Linked DNA regions of Mus musculus. The main gene of each other region encodes a partner of the protein of the gene in region 3 in a complex. Links are inferred from orthologs where the notes say so. Each region holds a gene or a part of one and is shown on either strand. Other genes may lie near its edges.

What was found. The genes of interacting proteins can lie anywhere in the genome.
Region 1: the proteins of Rev1 (region 3) and Polk are in contact, whole or in part, in an NMR structure (PDB 2LSI), measured with the Homo sapiens proteins. The link is inferred for Mus musculus from reciprocal best matches to the Homo sapiens genes REV1 and POLK. Residues at the interface, in NP_057400.1 of Homo sapiens: Asn1158, Leu1159, Ala1160, Gly1161, Ala1162, Asp1167, Leu1171, Leu1172, Glu1174, Trp1175, Thr1178, Ile1179, Met1183, Glu1185, Asp1186, Gln1189, Val1190; in NP_001374042.1 of Homo sapiens: Lys564, Lys565, Ser566, Phe567, Phe568, Asp569, Lys571, Arg572, Arg575.
Region 2: the proteins of Rev1 (region 3) and Pold3 are in contact, whole or in part, in an NMR structure (PDB 2N1G), measured with the Homo sapiens proteins. The link is inferred for Mus musculus from reciprocal best matches to the Homo sapiens genes REV1 and POLD3. Residues at the interface, in NP_057400.1 of Homo sapiens: Asn1158, Leu1159, Ala1160, Gly1161, Leu1171, Leu1172, Glu1174, Trp1175, Ile1179, Met1183, Glu1184, Glu1185, Asp1186, Gln1189, Val1190; in NP_006582.1 of Homo sapiens: Gly232, Asn233, Met234, Met235, Ser236, Asn237, Phe238, Phe239, Gly240, Ala242, Ala243, Met244.

Annotation. Positions count from the first base shown.
Region 1 is NC_000079.6:96,480,175-96,483,675, reverse strand, and holds the end of Polk (DNA polymerase kappa), read left to right. Parts: coding exon 1-185; intron 186-1,184; coding exon 1,185-1,218; intron 1,219-1,421; coding exon 1,422-1,506; 3' UTR 1,507-2,989; downstream 2,990-3,501. UniProt on the Homo sapiens protein: DNA polymerase specifically involved in DNA repair. Plays an important role in translesion synthesis, where the normal high-fidelity DNA polymerases cannot proceed and DNA synthesis stalls.
Region 2 is NC_000073.6:100,111,489-100,115,096, reverse strand, and holds part of Pold3 (DNA polymerase delta subunit 3), read left to right. Parts: intron 1-2,724; coding exon 2,725-2,827; intron 2,828-3,608. UniProt on the Homo sapiens protein: Accessory component of both the DNA polymerase delta complex and the DNA polymerase zeta complex.
Region 3 is NC_000067.6:38,056,615-38,060,222, reverse strand, and holds part of Rev1 (DNA repair protein REV1), read left to right. Parts: intron 1-928; coding exon 929-1,101; intron 1,102-2,446; coding exon 2,447-2,549; intron 2,550-3,340; coding exon 3,341-3,506; intron 3,507-3,608. UniProt on the Homo sapiens protein: Deoxycytidyl transferase involved in DNA repair. Transfers a dCMP residue from dCTP to the 3'-end of a DNA primer in a template-dependent reaction.

The DNA.
Region 1 (3,501 bases), on a different chromosome or scaffold from region 3:
TACAGATGAGGTAGTAACAGGACGAGCTCTAGTGTGTCCTGTTTGTAACCTAGAACAAGAGACTTCTGATCTTACCCTCTTCAACATACATGTGGATATTTGCTTAAATAAAGGTATTATCCAAGAACTGAGAAATAGTGAAGGTAATTCAGTTAAACAACCCAAAGAAAGCTCGAGAAGTACTGGTAAGTGTGTGGTCGTTAAGAGGAATGCGTTGTGGGAGGAAGGGAGACAGGCCAGTGGCTAAGAGCACTTGCAACTCTTGGGTAGGACCTACAGTTGGTCCACAAAATGCATATGGTGGCTCACAACCATATGCTGTAACTCTAGTGCCAGAGAGTTTGATACCCTTCTTTGGCTTCACACACTCACGGTACACAAACATACATGTTGATGAAACATCAATACACTTAAAATTAAATTTAAAAAAATAAGAGGAATGTGATTTTCTAGGGATATGTCTCATTAAAATTACCGAAACTATAAATTTGAAATGTATACTATTAAAAGGATGGCTTGTGTTTGCTCTCATTTAGGAAAATATTAGTTACCTTTACCCTGGCTAGAAATAACTCAAAGTGAGCTTTTGAATTGAAGAGAAAGTCCAGCTTAGTTTTGATTTATTGTAGAATGAAGTTAAAGTTGAAGGATCTGAGTGATCCAGTCAAAAATGAAATTCCCTCAGGGAGCGTCTGCTGGTGTACTGTGACAAACTAGCTTTATTTATAGAGCCAGGAAGTCTTTTACACTTTGTTCTTGGTAATGCTGACTATAGCAAGATTGCAGAAACTAAGTTTAATGCCAGTAGAACTCTACAGTTATAAGAAACAGTACTGTACAAACTGTAAGTATATAGTTATAAAGAAACAATATTGTGAACTTAACTTTGTGGGGCTGGCATTGTGGCTGTGAGGGTACAGGTGCTTGGAGCCAAGCCTTTCAACCTGAGCTGTGTCTCTGGAATATGCAATGGAAGGAAAGAACTGACTTCTGAAAGTTGCTCACTCCATACATGTGTGCACATGTACATATGCACACACATGCACACACACCCCAGTTTAATTAATGTAACAATATTTTTAAAAATTAGCTTGGGATATGTATAATATCTTTACTCTGTTAATTTTATAGCTTTTGTGTCGCTTTTCCTTCATGGCATTTCTTGACTTTTCTTTCCCCTGCAGACAGACTTCAGAAGGCTTCAGGAAGGACCAAAAGGTAGGGTTGGCTTTGAGCTTGAGCAAAGAGAGCTTGTGCCCTGCTCTGAGCTTCAGTGCAGACAGCTTGTGTCCTCTCTGAGTTTCAGGGGCTCACCTCTGCTTTTTTACACTAACCGAGTAACATTTTAAAAGCTGTTTTTGCAGAACTCTTTTTCAAATATTTCCTTCTACATAGCAATTGTGTGCTCTTTCTCATTCCAGGCCAGGAACGAAGACAAAGAGCTCAACTTTGAAGAAAACAAAGCCCCGAGATCCCAGACACACCCTTGATGGATTTTTTAAATGAACTTTGAACATTTTATCAACGTTTATCATTGAAATTATTATTTTCATAGTCAATATATTTATTCTTCCTCATTTTAAATGTATTCCTTTAAGGAAGACAAGTGCAATAATGCCTCCCCTACGTGACCTTTTTAAGAATGTAGACTGAATATTAATTTATTTCATTTATGTTTTCCTTAATAGCCATGAGAATTTCATTCCCAGTATATATATATATATCTTAGTTGGAAATCAGTCGTGTTAGAGACAGTGTAAGAAGTGAGGTCAGAAAGTGATGCGTTATTTTATAATGGATATAAAATATTTCCAAGGACTCTGAGCCACATGGAGCAACCTCACCATCAGCTCCTCCATGCTTAGTCACCATGGTGCCATTGATGCTTCCGTACCTACCTGTGTGCATCTCTGTGTCCTGTGAGCAGATGCAGTTAGAATCGGCCATGATGTCCATGAAGAACATTAGCTTAACATAAAGAGTGTGGGCATGGCTGTTCCCTTCAGGAAGGTGATGCACAGTATTATCTGTGTTCAGAGGACCTGTCCAAACCTGTGATTTGTATTCTTACTTATCTTACATATAAGCACTTGGTTCACATAAATATTTAGTCCATAATTCAAAATCTTTTTTTTAACTCAGTACTTTAAATGGCAGTATTTAATTTCTTAACATTTATATTTGACTACAAATCTGCAGTAAACAAGGTAAGTTGTGTAGTTGCCTGGTTTTCATTCCCCTCTTTAGGAGAAAATAGACACCTCAGAAGATGTGCCCTGAGGAGTCACTGCACTTACCGTAGCTGCTTCTCTGTCGTCTCTGCTAATTGTTGTGGGAGAAAGATTTGCAGCAATTCAGAGGTTGCTGCAGATGTAGTACCACCCACAAGTTCTTACCAAAAAGCCCTTCCTGCTACTACTTTAAGAACTGAATTCTGCTGGGTTGTGGTGGTGCACGCCTTTAATCCCAGCACTGGGAGGCAGAGGCAGAGGCAGGTGGATCTCTGAATTTGAGGACAACCTGGTCTACAGAGTGAGTTCCAGAAAGAACAGCCTGGACCACACAGAGAAACCCTACTTCAAAACACAAAAAAGGAAAAAAAAAACCCTGAATATTTTTTATAGTCTTGCCTTTGCTTATTTTAATGCATTTATTATAGACAGAGAGATATTTGATGGTCCTTAGAACCGACCTTGTATGGCACAGTCTTAACCTGACTTTTAATTGCTAGACTGCTTAAAAAAATGGGCTAAAAGCTCGCTGACACACCAGACCCTTACCTGATATTATACACCACAACAGTTCCAACTCTGTGGTCCTTTGGTTATTGGTTGTGATTTACTTATGTAAACTATTTATAAAATTAAATTCAATGAAACTGATTTAATGTATTGAAAAATAGATATTACTGTATTATTTTCTTCCATCTGAAGTTTATTTTTGTTGTTTTCAACATTAAGTAATAAATTATTTTCATGTAGATGCTACACTTATTGACTGTCATATTTAATAATAATTTAAAATTTTTTAAATTAAGAATTTTTTCACACATACTGTTACATTATTTTCTTCTCTTGCTCTTTCTCTTCCAACTCCTCACATGTCCTCTCAATCCCTCTCAAATCTATGACCTCACTTTAAATATTGCTCTCTGTGTGTGTGTGTGTGTGTGTGTGTGTGTGTGTGTGTATAGCTCATATGTATCTGTATTTAGGGCTGACTAAACCGGATGACTCAACAGGGGGCTTGTCCCTGGAAAAGACTGACTACCCTCCCTCAGCAGGCATTAACGATGTGCAGCTTTTCATCGAGGAGTGGAGCCTTGTGAGAGTCCCCCCTTCTGTGTTGGCATGTTTAACTAGTGTCGTTGTGCAGGTCTTGTTTGACTGACTATACTGCTGAGATTCTGTGGGTATAACTTCCTTGTCACATGCAGAAGACGTCATCTGAGCAGACATCCCAGTCCTCTGGCTCTTACTGTCTTTTTTTTTTTTAACTTTA
Region 2 (3,608 bases), on a different chromosome or scaffold from region 3:
ACTCGGTAGGCAGAGGCAAATGGATCTCTGGGTTCTGAGGCCAGCCTGGTCTAATGAGTGAGTGTCAGGACAGCCAGGGCTACACAGAGAAACCTTTTCTTGAGAAAACAAAACAAATTCTTGTTTTTAGTTCTTTTTTTAAAGTATTATTTAACAGACAAGATCCTTCCTCATTGACTTAAACATGACATCTTCAGATTGGAAAAATATTATGGAGGACTAAAATTGGTTTGGTTCCAGGGGAGCTAAAGGAGAGGAAAGTTAAGGGTCTCGGGGAGGTTGTAAGTCATCATGTGCATAGGAAACATTCTGCAGCATGTCAAGGCTTTTCACTCATTTTAAAGAATATTTCACATATATTATTGTCAGAAATGGAGTACTTGCCTTTACTAAATAAGAAACGTGTTAAAGTAGGTATAAATTCCTTTTTAAAAAAGTTTGTTGTAAACTTCTCAGTAAGAAGGGAAATAGATTAAAAAGAAAACAAAACAAAAACAAGTGAGAAGAGAAACTAATATGGGAACAGCTGGGGTTTATTTGGGGAAACCTGTGCAGAAGACAGTGGTTTGCTGACTGACCCAGGCAAGGTCAAGAGCTGTGGAGAAAAGACTAGTTGGCTGACACGCTTGAGAGCATGGTAGACATGGTATTTGCCTTTTTGGTTTTCTATTAGCAGGTCCTAATTAGCATCAACAGTCAAGAGTCCACCCCCTCATCTGCCCTTCTAACGTGGTCTCTGAAGTGGGGAAGATGTGAGAGAGCAAGGCGGAAGAATCCGTAAAACTGACAAATAGTGCACGCTTTGTACTTACGTAACTGGTGGTGTATGGAAAGGCAGCCTTAAAAACCTGTGATAGAGTGTGGTGTAGTAGATGTCAGAATGCATGATAGGGCGTAAGCTGTTAACACTCGGGAGGCAGAGGTGCTCTGCTTGGCTAGCCGTGTCAGAGAGACTTGGAGTAGGAGGAATTAGATGGATGGAACCTATATAGCCCTGCCTGGCCTGGAATTCCCTATGTAAGCCAGGCTGGCCTCAGACTCCCTCCCTAGGATTAAAGGGAGGCAGACAGATGGCTGTGATTCAAGTTCCTACCAATTTTAAGCTTACGCTCTAGGAAAGAAATGGCTGGTCCAGATGGGTAGGAGCCGTGACTCCTTTGTTTACTGCTTAGAACACAAGTGGGCACTCAGGAACGTTTTGATTCGTTTTTTTAATCTATTGACTTTTTTTTTTTTTTTTTTTTTTTACTGACTTGCATTTTAAAACTTCACTATGACAGCCTCACAGATAATGATGGTGAAAAGAGAATACAGGTGACCCTTGGACTTGAAATAGTCTAGTATAGCGTGTTGGAGAGCATAGAGTCCAGTCAAGAGTTAGTTGGGAGGGAGGACTGATGAGACTTGGCAACTCATTGCATAAGGAGAAAGGTAATGACTCCTGGATTTCTGGCTAAGGTGGTTTGAACAAATGATGATGTCATCAGGGAAAAAAAACCGAAGCCATGGAGTTGAATAAAATAGACAATGGAGGATACCACGGGGTGACCAACCATATCCCATTTCCCAGGAAACCTATCTGAGTCAGGCAAACTGGGGTGACTGGTCATACTAAAATAGGGTAAGATGGCTAAGGAGAGGAAAGCACAGAAACTGCAGGAAAAATGGAGCAGGTGTAGCAGGGGACTCGGCTGGGTATCGTGGAAGGTAAGCGAGGGAGGGCGTCTGGAGAAGACAGGGTTTCTTAGGCTTACTGGAGTAAGCCTGGTACTTACTGTGTAGACCAGGCTGGACTTGAACTCACAGAAATCCACCTGCCTCTTCCTCTAGGATAATTAAAGGCCTGTACCACCATACCTAGCTATCAGAATTTCTGAGTTTCTGGCTGTTCTCAACTGAAGTGTGATATGTTGTAGAAGCTTGCTAAATATTTCTTGAAATAAAGACAGATGATGTGCATCTTTTTATTGTTAAACTCCATTGAGGGGCATCAACTTCTGGTATTTTGGGTGGTTGGGATAAAAGTGAATAAAGACTTTACTGCAAGCAACACTTCTGCATTTAGTGTGTGGTTAATGAACATTTTAGATGTTGGCTGGTGTAAGCATCTGCTATATTCTACATCATGAAACATCTGACTGTATGTAATTCAGTAGTAACAGGTGAATATATATTTGTCATGATGTATATGATGACTTGAAGTATTTAACATAATGATCTCATAGAATTACTAAAAACCCCAAATCCTTTCCATCTCTAGGAAAGCACATATAGACTATTGATATTTGAGAATAGAGGCTTGCAGACAGTGTATGACTTCGGGTTATAAGAGTTATTCATGTAGTAATGCCACTTGTGCTTTATGCCTGAAGATAGGAAACCAAGAAAAGTTTATTCTGGATGCCATAGCTCGATAATTGACTCACTTTTGTATCTGCAGTTTGGCCATTGCCACTGTTTGACTATGGGTTCTGTCCCTCTTGGCATATTTCTAGATTTACCTCAGTTACTTCCTGGGTGTCTTAGCCAACTCAGATAAGTTGGTTCCAGTCCCATGCTCCATCTAAAGTTTTTTCATTGTTTTTTCAAAAATCTGTTCAGTAAGTAAAAAATTGTGCTGTTGAAGAAACTGTCAGATTTCATATATATGACTTCCAAGTCATGAATCCGGAGTCGATGAGGAAGCTGCATGCTAATGAGTCACTTCTGTCTTGTTTGGCACAGGATGCTCTATGAATATGTTGAAAGGAAACGGAAAGAAAATTCGGGAGCTCAGCTGCATGTTACCTACTTGGTGTCTGGCAGTCTTATACAGAACGGACATTCTGTAAGTTCTCTTGTAACAAGACTTCATGTTCATGAGATAGAAACATTATTAGAAATAACAGGAGGAAGAAGGAAGAGTGAATGGTATGGAAGTTTTAAAGTACCTCTTAAAGAGAGTGAGTGTTCTGAAATTTTAAACTAAATCTGACAAGAAAGGTTATGTAATATCTTGTCTGTGATGAGGAGACTGTCACTCTTAGTTACCTAGGAAATGAGACATTAGGGAATGGCTTTTCCTTGAACCTCTTTTTCCTTTTGAATACGTATTGTAGACACTGGTACTTAATTTTCATCTTCAAATTTCAAGTCAGATTCCAATGTTAAATAAAAAAGGAGGGAAAAAAATTAGGTGATTTGTAACCTGAGTACTCGTTTTGATAGGTCACTTGGAGTGGCCTGTTGTAAGGCCGAGGCTTAGCTGCTGGTACAGACAGGTGTTTAGGCTCCTGCATTCTTTTCTGTTCTTGCCCCTCTGCATGCCCGCCAGCTCAGGGTACTGTTGCTTTTTTCATCTCAACCACAACGCAGTCTCAGTCCCAGTCTCAGCGCTGGTGCTCTTTTGTTGACTTCCATTGTTTCCCTCGCGGTGGGGAACAGGTATTACTGAGCTCTTCCCAGGCCTTAAGCACCAGAAGCTCTGTTGCCTTGGACTGAATCCAGGGCTCGTTCATAGTTCTTGCACACCGGCTTCCTGTGCAGGTCTTCTCCGTCCTCACTTTCCTTGAGCCTGTCTGAAGACACCTCTGTTTCATTGCCATCAGTCCCAGGATCAGGGCTCCTCG
Region 3 (3,608 bases):
ATTAATGGTTTTATTCATTTAGGATGATATTGGCCATGGGTTTGTCATACATAACCTTTATTATGTTGGAATATGTTTCCTCAGTCCTACTTGTTCTAGGGCTTTTATTAAGAATGCATGTTGAATCTTATCAAAGACTTACTTTTTTTTCCCTTCCATTGAGATGATATGATTCTTGTATTTTTGTCCATAAATGCAAAACAAACAAAGAATTGTTTCACACTGTAGTTAAAAATTGGCCTCTTCTGTTATTCATACCTCAGTGGTTGTCAGCCTTCATACTACTGCAACCCTTCAATAGAGTTTTTCATGCTGTGGTGACCTCCAACCACAAAATTATTTTCATTGCTACTTCATAACTGTAATTTTGCTATTGTTAAGAATAGTAATATTAATACCTATCAGGTTATTTGATGGACTTAGGTGACACTGCAAAAGGGTCATGTGATTCCCAAAGGGCTGGTGACCCACAGGTTGAGATACCCTGCCTCTGTAGCAGTAATGCAAGTGAATTGGTGTTTCCTGTCCCTCGAATGCACGTTTGCATTGGGCACCTCTCTGGGATTTAGGGCCATACACTGCACATTCCGAGGATTTGAGATCTGGCAAGTTCTTACTCTTTGGAACTCTCATGTAGGAATCTAACAGTGTTGGAATACATATGTTACCAGGGATACTAATATTTGCAACAGGTCAGTGACAGCATAAAAAAGTAAAGCAGGAAAATGGCTTACAGAGTACTTAGTACACTGAGAACATGACCACTTACAGTAGCATACAGTCAAGGTGTATGCACAGTGTGTGTTTTAAGTCAATGCATATGATAGGGAAATAAGATATGCTCAATATGCAGAGCTAAGACACTTGAGAAGAACCTATTAGGTTAAGGAAAAGAATCAGTGTGCTTTTCATCTTTACCTTTGTGTAGCCCAAAGAAGCAGAAGCTTTCCTTCTGAGTCTTTCAGAAGAAATTCAAAGACGACTTGAAGCTGCTGGCATGAAGGGCAAACGCCTGACTCTGAAAATCATGGTGCGGAAGCCAGGGGCCCCTATAGAAACTGCAAAATTTGGAGGCCATGGAATTTGTGATAACATCGCCAGGTAAACTTATTCTTTAAGAAAGGAATGTTGGTAGTTATATTCTGTGCAGCTTATTATAAGTCATACAACATAATATCAGTAGTAGTAGTTTGAGTTACAACTTACCAATCCTGGTGTTGTTAAGCAGCCTGTAGAGGCAGGCACAGCCCATGGTCACTTGACTTAGGTTTAATACCTATTGCAAAATACTGAATGTCAATGGATAATTTTTAAAGAAAAGATTTATTTAGTTCACAGTTCCTGGTGATGTAAGAGGCTGGTACCCTTCAACTGTCTGCCAGCCAGTGGCATCCCAGTGTCAGGAACATAGATGACAGACACAAGGTGAGGCAAGAAGCTAAACTGCTCTGAACGGACCAGTCTCGCTCCTCCTCCCTTCTGTAAACAAGTGCTCAGGACAGCAATGACCTAGTCAGTTCCTGTCCTTGTCTCTTTAGGCCCAGATCACTGACACCAGCATGACTGTGAACAGATCACATCTAAGTCCCAGCCAGGTGGCAGCCCGAGGCTTCCTCGGGTCTTCAGGCTGTTAACTTGAGTGTGTAGAAAGGAAAAGGGCTGCACATTAGCAAGACAAGGGGACGGGTGTGGTTTGTGAGAGACTGACTGGGATGTTCGTTTCCTGAGTAAATCATTAGAGCAACCAGAATCCTATCTGAAAGCTGTAGAAAACTGTTTTTTAAAACTATGATGTTTGATGGGCACACCACTTAATGTTTGTGACCAACACGAAACCACTTTTTAAAGTGGGTCTTTTGTTCAGCAAATTGTACTCTGACAAGCCAGTGTTAGGATCTTTAACAATCTGTCTATGAGTAAGGGTTATGATGTGAGTATTCAGTAAAGATGAGCTCATGTCAAACATGTTTGTTCTTATAAAGTCTCTAATACAGAAACTTAGTGTGTTATTGAAAGCATTATGTACTGGGGAAACAGGCAAGAAGTAAAACAACACACTTTATGTAGAAATTGAAAGCAACAATAATGGACATTTCTATGTGAACCTGGTTCTTAAGCATAGGTTTGTGGGTCAGGTGGGAGGGAGGCAGAGCTGGCTTTCTACCATGCAGTCTGTTTTAATTCCAACATTGTATATCCATATATACATTTTTTTTACATGCGTTAACTAAAAATTTTCTTGCCTAAATTTGTCAACTTTTGGTTTGCTTCTTCATGGCTTGTTTAAAGCACCAATGTTATGGTTTCTATGCTTGGGGGTGGTGGTCTTCCTGGCTTACTGTAAGGGCAATTATTAATAACTCCTTGCAATGTGTATATGATCTTTTAATGAATATATATGGAATGTGCATTTGTTTGCTTAAGAATGTAATTCTAATACTTACAGGACTGTAACTCTGGACCAGGCAACAGATAGTGCAAAAATAATTGGGAAAGCCACTCTAAACATGTTTCATACAATGAAACTAAATATATCGGATATGAGAGGGGTGAGTATCACACTGGCTCCTTCTTTCTGTATCGTGAAGTCTGGGCTTCCTCTGAGCTCGGTCCTGATGTAGTACCGGCGTATTATGGACACAATTTTAACTTCATCCATGCAGTCCACAGAAGGAAACAGGACTTCTCGTCAAGCCTCCTCATGCTGGTTCTGATAGATTAGATTTGTTACTGTGTAATTCTGTCTTCTGCACAATACTATTTAAATCTTACACGTCCTATTCCCAGCACTTGATGAGCACCCGTATCACTGCGTTCCTGTCCCAGCTCTGTAACTCTACTACTGTAGGGAGACTTTCATCATGCTAAGTAGATAGGTGGACCACTCTGCCATACCCAGCCTGCCAGCTTTAGAGACAAATCCTATTTAAAACCTCATCTGGGGCTGGTGAGACACTTGAGTAGGTACAGGCACTTTGGTTGTCATGGGCCCCCGTGCTTGTACTATACCAGCCTTTCCCCTTTAAATGTAATGAACCCTGTAAAGCACCCAGCACACCTATGGAGTACTGAAATCCACTTGTTTGGGTATTCTGATTTTAAAAGTCTTACTACCCACCACCATGTAAGTAAGTAAGATAAAGCTACTTAACTCACTGAGCCACAAGTTGTTTGAGGGACAACTCATAAGTAAGCTGTTGGTTTGCATTGTTCCAATGGATTCTTTATTCTAGAAACTGGATTGTTGGCAGCACCAACAATAACTGAGAATTTTGTATAGATGAATTCTTACTTTTCACTTTTGTTATTTTAGAAACCTTCTCTTTTATTTTGACTCTAGGTTGGTATTCAAGTGAATCAGTTGGTTCCTGCTAATTCAAATCTTTCCACATGTTCAAGTCGTCCATCAGCTCAGTCAAGCCTCTTCTCTGGTCGGCCACATTCTGTCCGTGATCTCTTCCAACTTCAGAAAGCCAAGAAACCCACAGAAGAGGAACACAAGGAAGGTGGGTGGCCCTCAGTGTGCGGCTGCTTTCTGCTCCACCAAGTCCTCGGGGAGTAAGAAGTTCCATTTTAAATCCACATGGGTCTGTGCCCTTTCATTGCTT